2 linked regions of the Struthio camelus genome follow. The protein of the gene in region 1 purifies or fractionates together with the protein of each later gene. This does not show direct contact. Links are inferred from orthologs where the notes say so. Each region holds a gene or a part of one and is shown in the gene's direction. Other genes may lie near its edges.

Region 1 (8,059 bases):
TATGCAAAAGAATCTGACTTTGTTTAAGGCTGCAATCCTGTGCCACAGAAACCAAGCTAGGCCCTCTCTGCAAATACTACTTCAAGCTATCCAGAAAAATGTTGGTGCCAGGAGAAAGGGCTGAATTCAAGAATGTCTTTTTAGCATTCCCCTTTTTACTAAAGCCCAAACAATGCAAGAAAGACGGAAAACATGACCCTCTTACCAAAGTGGGGGACTTGCCACCCAGTACTGTCTGATTAACACAGACAATGAAAGTTTACAGCTACTACTTCAGCAGCGCCTGCTTTCGCCGGTGGAGGAGCTAAACAGATTCTTTCAGTAGCACAGGACAGCTATAAAGTGTGGCCCTCTTAAGGGACCTGACAAAGGGAAATTGGTCTTCCTAGGAGCGCTGCACTTACTGTATGCGTGTAGTAGATTTGGTGTATTAGAAATACCATACCCACAATTTTTGTGCCCTGTTTTCCTTGTAGAACCCTATAATACAAGGGGAAAATGTGAAATAAAAAAGTTGAAGCAGTAGAAGTCTTACCTTATTTATGCTACTGTTATCATTATTACATTTATCAAAGCTCATTTTTTGTTCCTGGACAAGCATGTCGGCTTCAGTAGGTCAGCTCTCATGGCCGGGAGTGAAATATCAGGCTTCTGTTTAGTAAACATATTCTAGATAACATAAAAACGAATTCAGAAACAAGCAAGAACTTACCCAACAGAAGGATTCACAATTCTAGTGTACTCATAACACCTTCCAATGACAACGCTTTCCAGGTTTTGTGTTGTACCTTCACCTTTCCATTTATGTCCTTGGCCTTCAGAAAAGCTTTTCATAAACAGAAGAGAGACAAGTAAGAGAGAGAAAAAAAAGCTGCTCATTATGAATTCTTGACAACCCAAGTTCTTTAAAAAAAAGATTAAAAAGGAGAGTTAAATGATACAATTTAAATGGAAAACAGAAGGTTTAACAGGTAATATTTTCAAAACAGGCAGTAGCTCTGTACGCAAATGACAAAGTTACACGGAAATCTAAACTTTGCTGGAGAATGTAATCTAACTGTTTCCTGGAATGATTGCAGCACAAGGATACATCACTTCCTTAAATTTAAATGTTCTCAGCTTCGGAAAAACGTAGTTTTTAGATCAAGAGGTTGCCACCTGGTGATAACTAGACGGAATTACAACATATTTTTGTAAAAGAAAAAACACTTCCCATTTCAGTGTTATTTACAATGCCTTAGGCTTGCTGAATACTCATTGCAATCTTAAATGCTAAAACATCGCAAGTGCTTGCAAGCAACAAGCTTAAAAGTACTTTCATTTAATGTTAAAAAAGTGCTACCCTTTTTGCATATATTTCTCTAAAGGCTGAAAAAAAGGCTGAAATACATATCAAGAAGAAAATGAAATATGCAAGTCCGCATTCATAAAAAGCCAGATTTTCACGTTATCTTGCATCGCAGATAGGGGTAACAGTGGTCAGCTCTTCTATTTTTCCCCTGGATACTGGCAGCAAAATTTTGGCGTGATGACAAGTTTTAAACTATTCTTAGCGAACAAAAGTGTCTTGCAAACAGGAATAAATCATAATGAGAACCAAAAGGATTAAGGTATGCTTCCTGTGCATTGAAGAAATCTCTTCAACTTCCACTTATGTTTATTTTCCCTCCAGCTTCTCCTCTCCAAGTACTTTGTTAGATCATCAAATGGGATAAATTAATCCAGCCGTCACTGTAAATCTTCTGTTGTATACACCGCTGGGAAAAACAACCAAACTACTTTTTTTCCACCCCTTTTTAAAAAACTTCTCTTTTCAACCGGAGCGTAATTTGTCTATGGATTCACATTTCTGAGAAATGTGCTGATTCCTTTTATTGTATTAAATAGTCCTCATGCCTCAGTGAATACATATATCTTTATTAATTATGTCTTTATTTATATAGTGTTATGCTAACCTGGGTGCACCAGTACTCAGCTGATGGATTTTGCTGTAGGCAGAATCTTGCTAATTGTTGAGTAAATTGCTGATGATGGATTTCTCCTATAAATGTGATATAACAAGTTGATTTGTTATCTGCAGCATCTTTTTAGGAGTGCCAGAGTTATCCTGCAACAGATGTGCCATGTTGTGTTTGATATGCTTGAGACACAGCAAATGCTGTACTTCATTTCAGTTACTTTTGTGATGCATTTTCTCCATATTTCCTTTTTGACATCTGTGAAACATGATGGCCATGTTGATCAGGGACAAGGATATTAACCAAATGGTTTCAAGTTCACTGCTTCAGGTTTGGGCTTAGAGGCTTTCAATCATCCATGGAACTCAATGAATGATTTTTGTTATTAACTTCGCTGCAGTCAAGTCTTGCCCAGTCATTTCACGACTAAGAAAAACCAGAGGCATCACTCATGTGATGCTCTGTACAGAATAAGACAGAAATTTTCACTGATTTTTGCATCAAGACTGAAACGTCTAAGTAAAGTATACAGTGCATTAGAATGACATAAAAATGAATAGAGTTTTGGAACGGCTTTTCTGCAAGGACACACCAAGTTCGGACTCGCCAACTCTGGAAAGATGTGGATGCTGCTCAGTGGTATTCTGCAAGAAGACATGACATGTCATGCCATTCCAGAGGGAATGGAAATATATCCAACGGTTGCTGGGATCCCCATCTCAAGCTCTATTGACTTTCCTTTCCTCAATGGCCACTTTGAGAAACACAGCATTAGGCTACGTGGGTCTCTGATCTGACTCAGTACAGCCATCTTTAATGCACGTTCTTACGCAAATTTGATTAAAATATTTTGTGTGATGGCTAATCTAACACATTGCCAGGGAAATTGTTCCAACAGTTGGATAGCCTTATGGTTTAAGCATCAAGTCTGAACTTGTCTACCTTTAGCTTCCCATCACTGGATCTCATGATGTCCTTTTCTGTTATGTTACTCAAAACAGAAATAGTCTCTCCATGTAAATCCTTATAGACCATGATCAAGTCGCCTCTTAAACTTGTCCATGAAAAATTCAATTTTTTAATCTCATTATTAGGCACTTACTTTAGTAGTACTGTACTTCAGTGCCATGATTGGCTGTCCAGCTTGCCTCCCAAGCTTTGGCACTTCATGCTGGATGTAGATCACTGCCCCTAGCTGTCTGTCCACCTCTCCTACAAGAGGTTACTGCCCATGAAGCAGAGTCAGCAAGGCCAGCAGCATATCTGCGCTGGAGATACTCCGATTCACAAACTGCATATTAACTCAAAATCAAATTTAGCATATGTTTATATTCTGAACCCTTGGAGGATGAGGATCGGACATGTTCTCTCTTGTTATTTCTACCAGATGAGAGCGGCAACTTCCAGCAGAAGAAGGGAGTAACAGCTGGGAGCATTAATCTCCCGTATTACTCAGGCATGGCCTGCTGGCAGACTGACCCCAGTTCTGTAGGATTTCAAGCTTTACGGTTGGAAATATGACCTTAAATTTGCCTGCATTAACAAGCTCTTCTGTAAGCAACAGACTTAACCAAACACTGTTTCTTGAGGGCTTGCATCTCTGTCATAAATCTCAATCGTAAATCCTACTTAGAGCACTAACCCTCCCTCTCCCACTTGTCTGCTGCTATACTCACTGTGCAAGAAATGGTGGGTACTGGGGGTAGTGCAGAGCCAGAATTGTCTTTACTGGTCAAGCAGTAACTGGTCAAGCAGTAAATGCAACCATGTACTGGCTGGCCGGCTGTATCATACCTGTGTTTTGCCTTCCTTTCCCTCTCTCATACATAGCTGCTGATTTTCCCCAAAGTTGCACAAATCTAAATTCCTTTAAGATTTGTAAACCTTTGTCAAATATGATTAAGTAGGCCAACAGGTTCAGAAGTTTCTGGGAGGAAGAAAGGGTGGATGGAAAAGGAAGCACCCAACACTGCAATTGCTCAAGCCTCATTTCCGTCAGTAGAAAGATTGCTCAGTACTAGACGATCTAGATAACTTTGATCATGTGATGTGTTCTTCTTAAATTATCTACTAATTTTACTAGCAATAATTTCATATTTTATTCCAAAGCATTACTATGTTGAGGAACACTTACTAAAAATAAGTACTGCAGGCCTTTGCTCAAAATATTTCCATCTGTTTATAACTAATTTTTTCACATTTGTTAACTCACCAGCTTTTAATCTGTTTAAGATATACAACTTGGATTTTGTCTAGTTTTCAGTCAGGAACTTCTGCATTTACTGTATCTTTGGCAATTTGGGGGCGGGGTGATTTATAACACGTGGACATGTGGGTGGACAGCGTTACAGCTTCATTTTGCTAACCTAACCTGTAATCTCAAGGCCGCTAAGGATTCCTGGATCTTTCGAGGCGTTTTAGGGGGGGACGAACCCCGAAGGGCAGCGCCCCTGCCCCTTCCCCCCTCGGACGTTAAACACAGGCAGCGCTTGGCGGGTACGGCAGCCCGGGCCCCCCGGCCGGGGCACTCTGCTCAGCACCGCGCGGGGTTTTGGGGGGCCGGGCCCTCGGGCCCCCCGGCCACACGCAGCCGCGGCGGCGGCGGAGCCGGGCCGCTTGCGCCACGGCAGGGGACAGGCCCGGGCCCGTCGGCCTGCAGCCTCCGGGCGCCGCCCCGACGCGCTCCCTCGCTCCTGCCTGCCGGGGGCCTCTGGCATCCAGCCTGCTGCCGCCCACGCTCGGCGGGAAGGAGCTGGGCGCGGCAGGAGGCCGATGGCGGAGGCGCGTTGTTGCTGACACAGCGCCGCGGCCCCGGCGGGAGGCGGGCGAGGGCAGCGGCCTCCCAGGGCGCCGCAGGGCTCGCCGAGCCTGGCATGCGCATGCGCGCGGCGGGGCGCCGGGCGGCGCCGCCTGAGCCGCGGCGGCGCTCGCGGGGCGGCCCCTGTCACGTGGCGCCCGGGCCGGCGGGGCGCCCTCCGCGCCGTGCCGCGCATGCGCAGCGCGCATGTTGCCGCCGCCAGTGCCGGCCGCGGCGAGGCTCTATGGGGAGAACATGGCTCCCTTCCCCGAGGAGGTGGACGTCTTCTCGGCGCCCCACTGGCGGATGAAGCAGCTCGTGGGGCTCTACTGCGACAAGGTAGCGGGCCGCGCCGCGGCCGCCCCTGCCCCGCTCCGCTCGCTCCGCCGGAGGGGCGAGGGAGGATTTCGCGTAGTGCGCAGCTGTCAGCGCGCCCCGCGCCGGCCCCGGCCCCGGCTCCCCCCGCCGCTGCCGCGGGGCGCCCCGGCCGCCGGAGCCGCCTTCCCCGCGCCCCGCTCTGCCCGGTCCCGGCCCCGGCCGCGTTTGGTGGCCTTGCCCGTGAGGCAGCAGCGCTCCCTCCGCCGCGGGACCGCGCCTGCCGCGCTCCTTCCCCCGCCGGGCTGGGAGCGGGGCCGGCGCCCACCCCGGCTGCCCCTTCCTGGAGGTGGGGCCGCGGCCTGCGCAGCCCCGGGCGGGGCGGACCCCCGAGGCGGCCGGGGGTGCCGGGGTGGAGCGGGGGGCAGGGGGTAAACAAACCTCTGGTGGTGTTTTGGTGTGTTTTGGTGCTTTTTTTTTTTTTTTTCCTGTAAATTGCCCGGTGCCCGGCAGCACCGCCGGACACCGGTCGTGGGCAGTGCGCTCGTTAACGGTCTGTGAGGAGCAACGTTTGTTTGCGTTTTAAAGTACAGCGTTTAATTGGTGAGCACCTGAAGGGTACGCTAAGGAAGTTTTGGTTTTTAAATAATGTTGCAAAAATAACTTCCGTTCTTGCATCAGGGCAGTGAGTAATCCGAGCTGGTGTGTCACCTGAAAGGCAAACTTCACTGCAGCACGTTCAAGCAGAACTGAAGGGTTTCAGGGAAACACTTGAAAGCCAGCACGCAAACTGAAAGTAGTGCCTCCCCCCTCTGTGGGCATAAACGGCTGTGGGGGAACCGGAGTCGTTTTAGCAAGCGTCAAAAAGGAGTGTGAAGTTGCATGAGAGACAGCGTAACAGCTGCCAACAGGCTGGGGGAGTCCCCCCTTCCCCTATTTCCCCAATGTCTGGTGCTCACCGGACCCCTTTTTGTGAGCCTGTTTGAATTGGGCAGAGAAAATCAGGGGAAGAAAAAGATGAGAGTGTTACCATTTAGCAATGTCTGACCAGATCTAGCTGTCTTCTGTAATTTCACTGTAAGTCGTTTTTGCAAGTGTGTTTGCAGTTAAGTTAATTTTGCAATCTGTGGCTGCATGAAAACTTGTGAAGCCTTAAGAGAGGGGATATTGCAGAAAGGGAAAGAAACACCTGAAAAAGGCTGCGACTTTTTTTTCCCACTAGCAGCCCTGCTAGCATTGTTAACAGTAGTTGAGCAAGTTTTCAACCTCCAGATCTTCTAGTCATTTACTACTGTTTTTGGTTTTTTGTTCCCGAGATGCATTTCTGTCACTCTTATTGAACCTCCCACAAAGTTTTGACCGAATTTATTAGATTGGCAAAATTTGATTAAAACCATCCAGTCTGCTATGAGCATACGCTCTCTTTTTTTTTTTTTTTCAATTGTAGACAAGAGCGTGCTAACTTTCTTTTCTTCTTTTAAACAAGCATAACCACAAATGAATCCTTGATGGGTTTTTTATGTAAGCAGGGAGGATTTATAGTACTTAATCCTACATTCTCTGGTCCTGTTACAGAGTTTGGAGTCTGTGCCTGGCTCGTGACCTTTGTATTTCAGTCACGATAGCTTTATATCAGAAAAATTTCTCTGAACTTTCCTTCTTGTGTGATTAAGATGTTGTAGTTAGCTCAGACTGTATTTCTGCTTACATGGCAATTATAATCCGCGAAGCTATGCTCTTTATCAATTTAGTGAATCCTTGAGGAGTCTTTAATTTCAACTACATGTGTACCTGCTGCTGCTAATGTTCCCTGTACGTTGTAATATAGTTGCCATCTGTTAGTGCCTCCTCTTACTAAATTCCACCAATTGTTAGTAGGGGTGAAACTGGTGCATCTATGCTTTTCAGGGAATCGGTTATAAGGTTAGGATGAGTAAAAGGCAGAGGTACTCCAGTGATGCTTTAGGACTGAGATAAAGTTTAGATTGTTCTTCTAAGACCTCATATGAGACAGAAGAGTAAATCGGAAGTGTAAGATGTTTGACTGCTAGCAACAATTTAAAAGTTCAGTAACTGTCTTGATGCAAAGATCTTACCATACGTTTTCTGTGTACTTGAATGGCATTTTAGGACCGTTGTATGCAGTGCCTTTACTTACATAATAGGAATAACTATTCCTATAGACGGTCTTTGGAGTAAAATTTTTTTTCCTAATGTCTAACATCATCCATACTATTTATTAATAGAGCTGATTTCTTTTTCCTATCTCCAGTGAATGGCTGTTTGTTTTCAGGAGAGTCTTCTGCTTATTTGCAAATTGTAGCCCTGTCCTCCATCTTGATCTGCTTTTTGGACTAAGTGAACAGATTCATTCAACTTTACCACATGGGTGATGCGTTCTGTGCCTCTTGGTGTTCTTGTTGCTTTTGTCAGGACTGCTAAACTGCAGTTTTGTGACAATCTAAGCCATCTAACTGCTGCTGTCATGATTATTGGCCCTTCCTTCCTCCCATCAGCATGTTAAGTGACTCACAAAGGCTGTAATTGGCAGAGAACTTTTTTTACTTTTTTTTTTTTTTTTAGGTGGTAGTTTTTCTGCTCACCAGCAAGCACTAGTCAGATGAGTACTGAAGCCAATGGGAGCTGGAGGGTGGGACTGTGACAGCCCGGCAACTAGGTTGGCTTCAGCTGCTGTGAAACCTCAGCCTAATTTTGTCTAGATTTTCTTGAAATCCGTTGTGCAAAACATGACACTGTTGATGTTGAATAGAGCTTCTTTTTTTTCCCCCCCTGTTTATTTATTTATTTTTAACAGCACCGTATTCACTTTATGCCTCACTGTAACCCTATGCTTATCTGTGAATTGTTTCTGGCAGCACTCAAAATTTTCCTTTCATATTTGTGCCTTTGACGCCTTCTGTCCTAACGTAGTACTCCGCACTCTTCCAAAATCCACATGTCGGTCGGTGTTCAGTAGAGAGCGCTTCTG
Region 2 (7,130 bases), on another chromosome or scaffold:
TCTCTTTACCTATATGCACTGATAACACAATTATAGGAATCTGTCCTTACACTAGTACACTCAACTCTTTATTCACAACCTAGCTCACGGACACCAAAGACTATGTAAAACACTCACAGGAAGTTAGATCAACTAATTTTTAATCTGCACAAACAACTCTTTTAGACCCACAAACGATATCCAAACTATTGCACTATTTCTGAAGAGAGATCAGAAGCAACTGAAACATAAAAGTATTGTTATGCAAGAGGCTGTGTTGATCACCTTCCACTTAATATGTTGCCTAAGGCTACAGTGAGAAATATTGTTTTTCTGACTAGAGTGTCTTAACCTTTCATTGAGCCTGAGAAGTCATGAACTGGAGGAAAACGTCATCTGTCCCCTCATTCCTTATGCCGTCAAATAAACTATTTTACCTTACTTTCAAGGCAACTGCAAAGACTATCCTTGATGTATTATCTCTCATTCACTACCAAGAGACTGTCATTGCTTCCAAAACCACGATGCTAGCTTACAAACACGTACTTTTTACTCCATTCCTTATGGGATTTGTTATGTGTTTGGAACACAGGCTGCGGTGGTAAGGCTGCTGATCAAAATTTGTAAAATCACTATAATTAATATCTTATTTGTCATATTTTCTCCAAAAAGACTTGACACTGACTTGTCTGTCAGTATGGAGACTATCAGCTATTGTTCTGAATGATGCTGTGTATCTTTCTATACTCTACACGCTGTATTTATCTTTTATGTGAGCACTTGGAAGCAAGGGCCATCTTGCTCATACAGTACCTCACACAATCAAATCTATAACTAGGACTTAAAAGGACCACACCAGTAAAAATACCAATATCATCCATGAATAATTAAACTTATTTATTACATTGCATATTAAAAAATCATGAAAATTATTAATAGATTTTTAAAACTTTTGATCATTTCTGAGCTTTTTTTTTTAAGAGGATGAAACAACTGAATTCATAGGACAAATAGCAGAGGGATTTTAGGACTCCTTCAGTCTCTTACACATTTTAACATAACCTCAGTAAAGCAAGCATGTATTGATTTTGCAATTTAGCAAACAGAATATAAGAGCTACTATAAAGAATTATCTTATGCTTGCAGGTACGAAACGGAGTCTCTCTAACTGCTCCACAGTTCAGGTGGTTGCACTGAAGGAAATCTCCAGAATCCAGCTGGTGATTTTGCAGCAGGTACCCCAAGAAGACATTCACAATCCTATCTGTTCCCTTTATGCTGTTCTATCGTCCTTGAAACTGCATATTTTGCTAGTCACCTCTGGATTTGAGCTTTCATGCCCTACACAACAAATTGATAAGAAATCAGTATATTTTTGTAAAAAGTGGCTCACGTGATCTCTGGATATACTTATATTAGAAATAAACTGCACAGACTGGTCAAGAAAAACCATTTCAGTTCATTCTTGTACTTGCTAGTTTGTCTTGACTCACCTCACCTAAACGATGGAAGCAGGTATTTTGAAAAATCCTATTGACTTAATGGGTTCCATATACAAGGACAGTAATTTGTCTGTTGACAAAATCAAATCAAAGGAATCAAGAGTATAAAAAACAACGTAAATCACTACAGATATGTTCAGTTTTATTTGCCAGTGTTCATGAATGCATGAACCACATGGACATTCCTACACTCCTGTTCTGGCTTTAGTGTAGGACAGGTCTGTGAACACTTTTGAGTATGTGACTCTCAGCTTTTTCCCTTCTTTGCCAAAATCGCTGTCAGAACGTAGGTGCAGAGTAGCTGTGAGCTACAGGATGCACGTAAGAGAACTATTACACTGGGAAATCCACAGGTTCTAATTTCCACATACTCCATCCGATTTTGCACATAACCCTCAGAGAGTTCCTAAATGAATGTTTTCTCCGTCTGCTACTAGTAGGCCAAAGAAGCACCATCAAAACGCATTTAATGTCTGCAAGGAGAATGCAACACATCAAGATTTCCCCTACTGTAACATACACCCTCAGCTCTGCAGGAAGTTTATAGAATCCAGTACCAAAAATAGGAGCACATTAAATAAAGATAACAGGCAGCTCTACCAAACCCCTAGGAATTTCAACCTAGAGCTTTGGTAATACCTCAGGTCTATGTCAAGGTTATTTTGAGCGAGGTGAAATACTTGTGAATGTGCCTAGTACTGAATCTGTTGTTCCTTATGACTCTCTTTCTCTAAGAGACGAGCCATGAGACACTGATAACGGTAAAGTTACATGATATAGTTTGTGTTATCACCACAGAAAACCCAGGTTCCTGTGGAACTTCTTGGCATAATTCTTGGAGGACTTCTTTGACAGGGAACCCACAGGAAAGAATGCCAAAATTTTTCTTTTGTAGGATAAGCTTATTGTAGCATATTTTTTTCCTAATATTTGCATCCTTCTGTCAAACAAAAGTTGCTGATGACTCTCTAAAACAATCTATAACTTCTACAGAAACAGGTTAAGTGGGGTGATTTTGGCAGCTTCTGCAGCAAAAGTCCTCAAGAGCAAATGGCAAATAATATTTTTATCTGCTACATCACAAGAATTCAAAGCTGTCTGGAGGAATAAACCCACCTCACAGTCATTATACAAGCAACAATTTCTGAAGTAGTATACAAATATTATTTCCAATTCCTCCTCACTATGAGGATATTATACCCCAAAATTTCATCACGTAGCAGGAATTCTAGCTGATCAGCTAGTTGGTGGAATAAAACCTGGTATACAGACCATAGTGCTAACTGAAAAGATCCTGGTATTCCGTCATATAATCTGTAAAAGTGACATATGGTTTTCAAAAAACCTAAAAGCAGATCCCAGGCTCGGTATCTCTCACCTCTAGCTCACAAAAGTGCCTTCCAGCTCTGGAGAGCTGCTATAAAACGCATCGCTGTCCAACTTTCAGCCCATGCAACAGCATTTGTTTCTGTCTGCAGTGGTGTAGTGCAACAAGCAGCATACTGAATCTGCTGGGGCAGCACCGTTCTCACCAGACTCCATGCAGGCGTCATGCACAACAGCATTAACTGCAATTTCTGTAAAGTACTTTTAAACAACAGAACCACAATATGTGACTTTCCTTCAAAACACTAAATCTTTCGAAGCAGTAAATCTCAATTCCTTTCAAATTATTTTTATTTCTAATTAACCAAAAGGGAAATTACCTCACTCAGCCTGAGGACTACATTAATGTTTTTCTTACATAAAAAATAAAATGTAGTGGCTTACATGTACGATGACTTGATACAGTAGGACAGATGTGTCACTTAAGCACAAAGTAATAAAACAAATTACTCAAAAAACCCTATGGGGATCATTTTTTTGCAAAGAGGAACAAACATATGACCCAGATGACTGCATACAAGATGTTTATGCAGGAGTAAAAGCTTTAACCCTATTATAAAGGGGTCTATAAAGCCAAAACATAAAGCATCATTACATTCACTTTATCACTTCAGTTTATTTAACAGTTTGTCATATTTACTACTATACACAGCTTGACTTTTCAAATTATCTACACGATAAAAGAAATCACCTTAATCAATAACATTTTGCATTTAAAACGCTGTTTAGTTTACCTGTCTTCGCAAGCACTAAGTAAACAGCAAAGGCGCTCAAACAAAAACTTTAGAGAGCCACCGACTGGAACGAAGTCATTCCCTTTCCCCCCTCAGACCTTATGTTTAACGCCAGGCAACACTTAAGTCACTGCACGCGGCCTCCCAGCTCACCAATACGCCCTTTAACGCTCCACTTCCACGGCCAGAGACGAGGTGCTACCTCTGTCTCTCGACAGCTGAACAAAACCGCGGCAAAAAAAACCCACTTCTAAATTCACCTCCGACTCCCGCGACGCGCATCCCTACTACAAAAGCGGCGAGCGACAACGGCGGAGGTCACGGAGGGCCGCCACCCGCCCGCCCGCAGAGGGAACCGCCACCCGCACCTCAGGCGCCTCAGCTTCCTCCTCTGCCCCCTCCCCCCGCGGCCAACGGCCAATCGCCAACGGCCCCGCGCGCGCGGTGCGGCGCCGAAGCGCGTCCGGGCTCCTTCCGCCGGCGGCGCGCCGCGCCGGAAGGGCCGCCCGCCTCGCGGCGCAGAGCTGCCGGCGGCCATGGTGGGCCCGGGCGGCGGCGGCGCGGCGCCGCTGGAGAACGCCAACCCCCTCATCTACCGCCGCTCGGGGGAGCGGCCGGTGACGGCGCGGGAGGAGGACGACGAGCTGCCCGACTCCATCGACGACCGCGAGATCTTCGATATCCTGCCGGGGCAGGGAGGGCCGGGCCGGGGTTGGGGGTGGGGGGGGCCGGGGCGGCGGCCGGTGGCGCAGCCGCCCGCAGCGCGTTTTCCTCAGCCTGGCACATCTCATCCGCTCCATCAACGACCCCGAGCACCCGCTCACCCTGGAGGAGCTGAACGTCGTGGAGCAGGTCCGCGTCAAGGCGAGTGCTCTGCCAGGCTTGTCCAAACGCCGCGGCTTAGTTTCCGTGTTCCCGTGGCCGTGAAAGGAGAGTTAGCGTAGACTTGTGCTTCGCTCAACCGTAACGTATGAAAATGACAAGGAGGAAAACGATGAGCAGCAGAGCGGAGCTGCAAGCTGCGTTTCACACGCAGTGCCTGCTGCTGGCTTGTGATACGGTCAGTGAGTTTTGTACATAGAGAGTGTTTGCTTTTCGACAGGTGAATGACGCTGAAAGTACCGTAGCAGTGGAGTTTACACCCACGATTCCTCACTGCAGCATGGCGACATTAATTGGCCTGTCCATAAAAGTAAAACTGATTAGATCTCTGCCTGAGAGATTTAAGGTGAGTAATAGAATCAGTCCAGAAAGCAGAAGAAGGCGGTGTGTTTTTAAAAAACTGACAACTAACTTTAAGTGAAAAGCAAATTAAAGTGAAAACTAACTAGAGCTTTTCTTCATCTCCTCATATTATGGGGGAAGGGAAACACTACAAGAATCAGAAGGCACTAAACTAAAGAGTGGATACAGAATGCCTGCTCTCTGAAGGTCGAGTCAAAGGCAAACAGGAGCACGATGGGGAATGACATTTAGTTCTTTGTGGCACCCTAGCTCCTTAAGGGTGAGAATCTCACTTTTATGAATGGGGATTAGAGGCCTGTGTTTTACGCAGCTGCCTGAAGGAGGCGTAAAGCAGATCAGAGCGCAGCATGCAGTGCAGGCTTTTGCCTGGAATCCAGATTTTAGACTTTGTTTTGTTTTGCTATATACAATCACTGGCTTTGACAAGAACGTGTGTGTGTGTTTTTAATTGTCTTGTTTTCCTTGTTTAATTATTTGAGTCCGAGCTTCCGGTGTGTTGTTGGCTTGTCCTCTCTCTTCTTCTTTTGTGACTCTTTTTCTCCTTTTAAGGTGGATGTTCATATAACACCAGGAACACACGCCTCTGAGCATGCAGGTGAGCTTTTTAGTGCTTTGTTGTGTGTTTTTCTTTACACTTTTAATCTTGCAAATTAGAGTGAGAGATACTCTTGCGTCTGCAGAGCAGCTGTTGAGTATCTGGACTTCACACACAGCCCCTTCCACCAGATGTTACAGAACCAGAATGCATAATAATAAAACTTAGATATGTCATGCACCTTACCTGAAACGTTTCCTCAGACAGTTTGCGTTCTCAAATAGTCCCCAATTTGCCTGCATTATGGAGGGCTCAGAAAATGAGCAGAAGCTGAGGGTAAATTTCTTATTACAGCTATACATGCATAGCTCACTGCTGGTGAATCATAAATAGCCTCCTTGTTTAACTTGTGATAATATGGTAGCTTTGACTTTATATTACAACTCTGTAGTGTGCTCAGCATCTGCAGAATTACAAGTCTACCTGAGTATCATAGCAACAGTGTGATTATCAGTCTCAACGTATAATGTTTTTAAAAAGACATTATATACCAATGTTTTGACAAGTTTTATATATATATTTTTTTTCCCTGAACAGTTAATAAACAGCTTGCTGATAAAGAACGTGTAGCAGCTGCTTTGGAAAACTCTCACTTACTGGAGGTGGTGAATCAGTGCTTGTCTGCTCGATCATAATTGCCTGATGAGGAAATCTTTGGTATTATGCTTTTGTTAAATTAATTTTGTATATAAGTGGTGATGCAAGTGTTTCTTTATCTATGTATCTATAAGCAAAATAAAGGGACTTGGATTTTCTTAAAGAAATGTTTCATTACTTCTACAAAAATTAATATGTAGGAAATTAGCTTACAGGCAGGTACACAAGTATTATGAATATTGACTTTTTAAGTTTATTAGCTCAAGCAGAGTAGGATTTTTCTGGACATATCTTTAGAAAGATCTGTTTGAACTTGGTTTTAATGGAATTCTGACCATCCTAAACCAAAGATTAGTTATGAACTGCATTTTAGAAGTGGGTTTTACACATTGACCAAGCAAATTAGCAGTTAAAATCTTTCCATTCATATGATTATTTTGGACTGTTAATATAATTTTAGCTTCAAACATTGAGATTTTTACAAGTCAATGCGTGCAAAGACATAACATGCCAGTAGCAAAAAAATGTAAACACTTCTAAATCATCTATTTGTTTTTTATGATATTGACTTGGATTTGCCAAAGAGGGAGGGCTCTCTATACCTGTATGAAATGTGATTATTTTTAACTACTCATTACTTCTGGTAAGTAATTTCCAGAAGTTCTATTTCTGAGGTAGATTTTTTTTTTCTGCACCTGTCACAGCCTAGGAGGGAGTTATGCATAGTTTTCAGTATGAACAGTCCAGCTACTCCCTGCTGAAGACTTTCCTGGTAAAGTTTGACAGCTAAATCATACGTTTTGCTTTAAGGATATATTCAGATTTAGTACTAATACTTATCCCATGTTACTGGGCTGGAAAATACGGCACTTACTAAACTGTTGTCTGTGGTGGAAATTGACAATAGAAAAATTCATTTAGATTTCCATGATTAACTTTAAGAGATGTTTTTAATCCTAGACCACATGAAAGGAAAAAAAAAAAAAAGAAAAAAAAAAACAGACTGTTAAAGAAATAGACCAATAAAGTTTTTTGGTTGCTACATGCATGCAGTGTTATGTATCAATTATCAAGTACCTTCACCATCAGCAA

Evidence for each region. The genes of interacting proteins can lie anywhere in the genome.
Region 2: the proteins of FBXL5 (region 1) and CIAO2B purify together in Homo sapiens (affinity purification with mass spectrometry; 3 studies listed by BioGRID and IntAct, counting the BioPlex papers as one, with this or other methods). This does not show direct contact. The link is inferred for Struthio camelus from reciprocal best matches to the Homo sapiens genes FBXL5 and CIAO2B.

Annotation. Positions count from the first base shown.
Region 1 is NC_090945.1:70,559,080-70,567,138, forward strand, and holds the start of FBXL5 (F-box/LRR-repeat protein 5), read left to right. Parts: upstream 1-4,889; 5' UTR 4,890-4,962; coding exon 4,963-5,094; intron 5,095-8,059. Other genes in the region: ADP-ribosyl cyclase/cyclic ADP-ribose hydrolase 2, read right to left, coding at 713-879.
Region 2 is NC_090951.1:11,244,828-11,251,957, reverse strand, and holds the start of CIAO2B (cytosolic iron-sulfur assembly component 2B), read left to right. Parts: upstream 1-4,053; 5' UTR 4,054-4,137; coding exon 4,138-4,279; intron 4,280-4,385; coding exon 4,386-4,465; intron 4,466-4,703; coding exon 4,704-4,829; intron 4,830-5,395; coding exon 5,396-5,441; intron 5,442-5,978; coding exon 5,979-6,076; 3' UTR 6,077-7,130.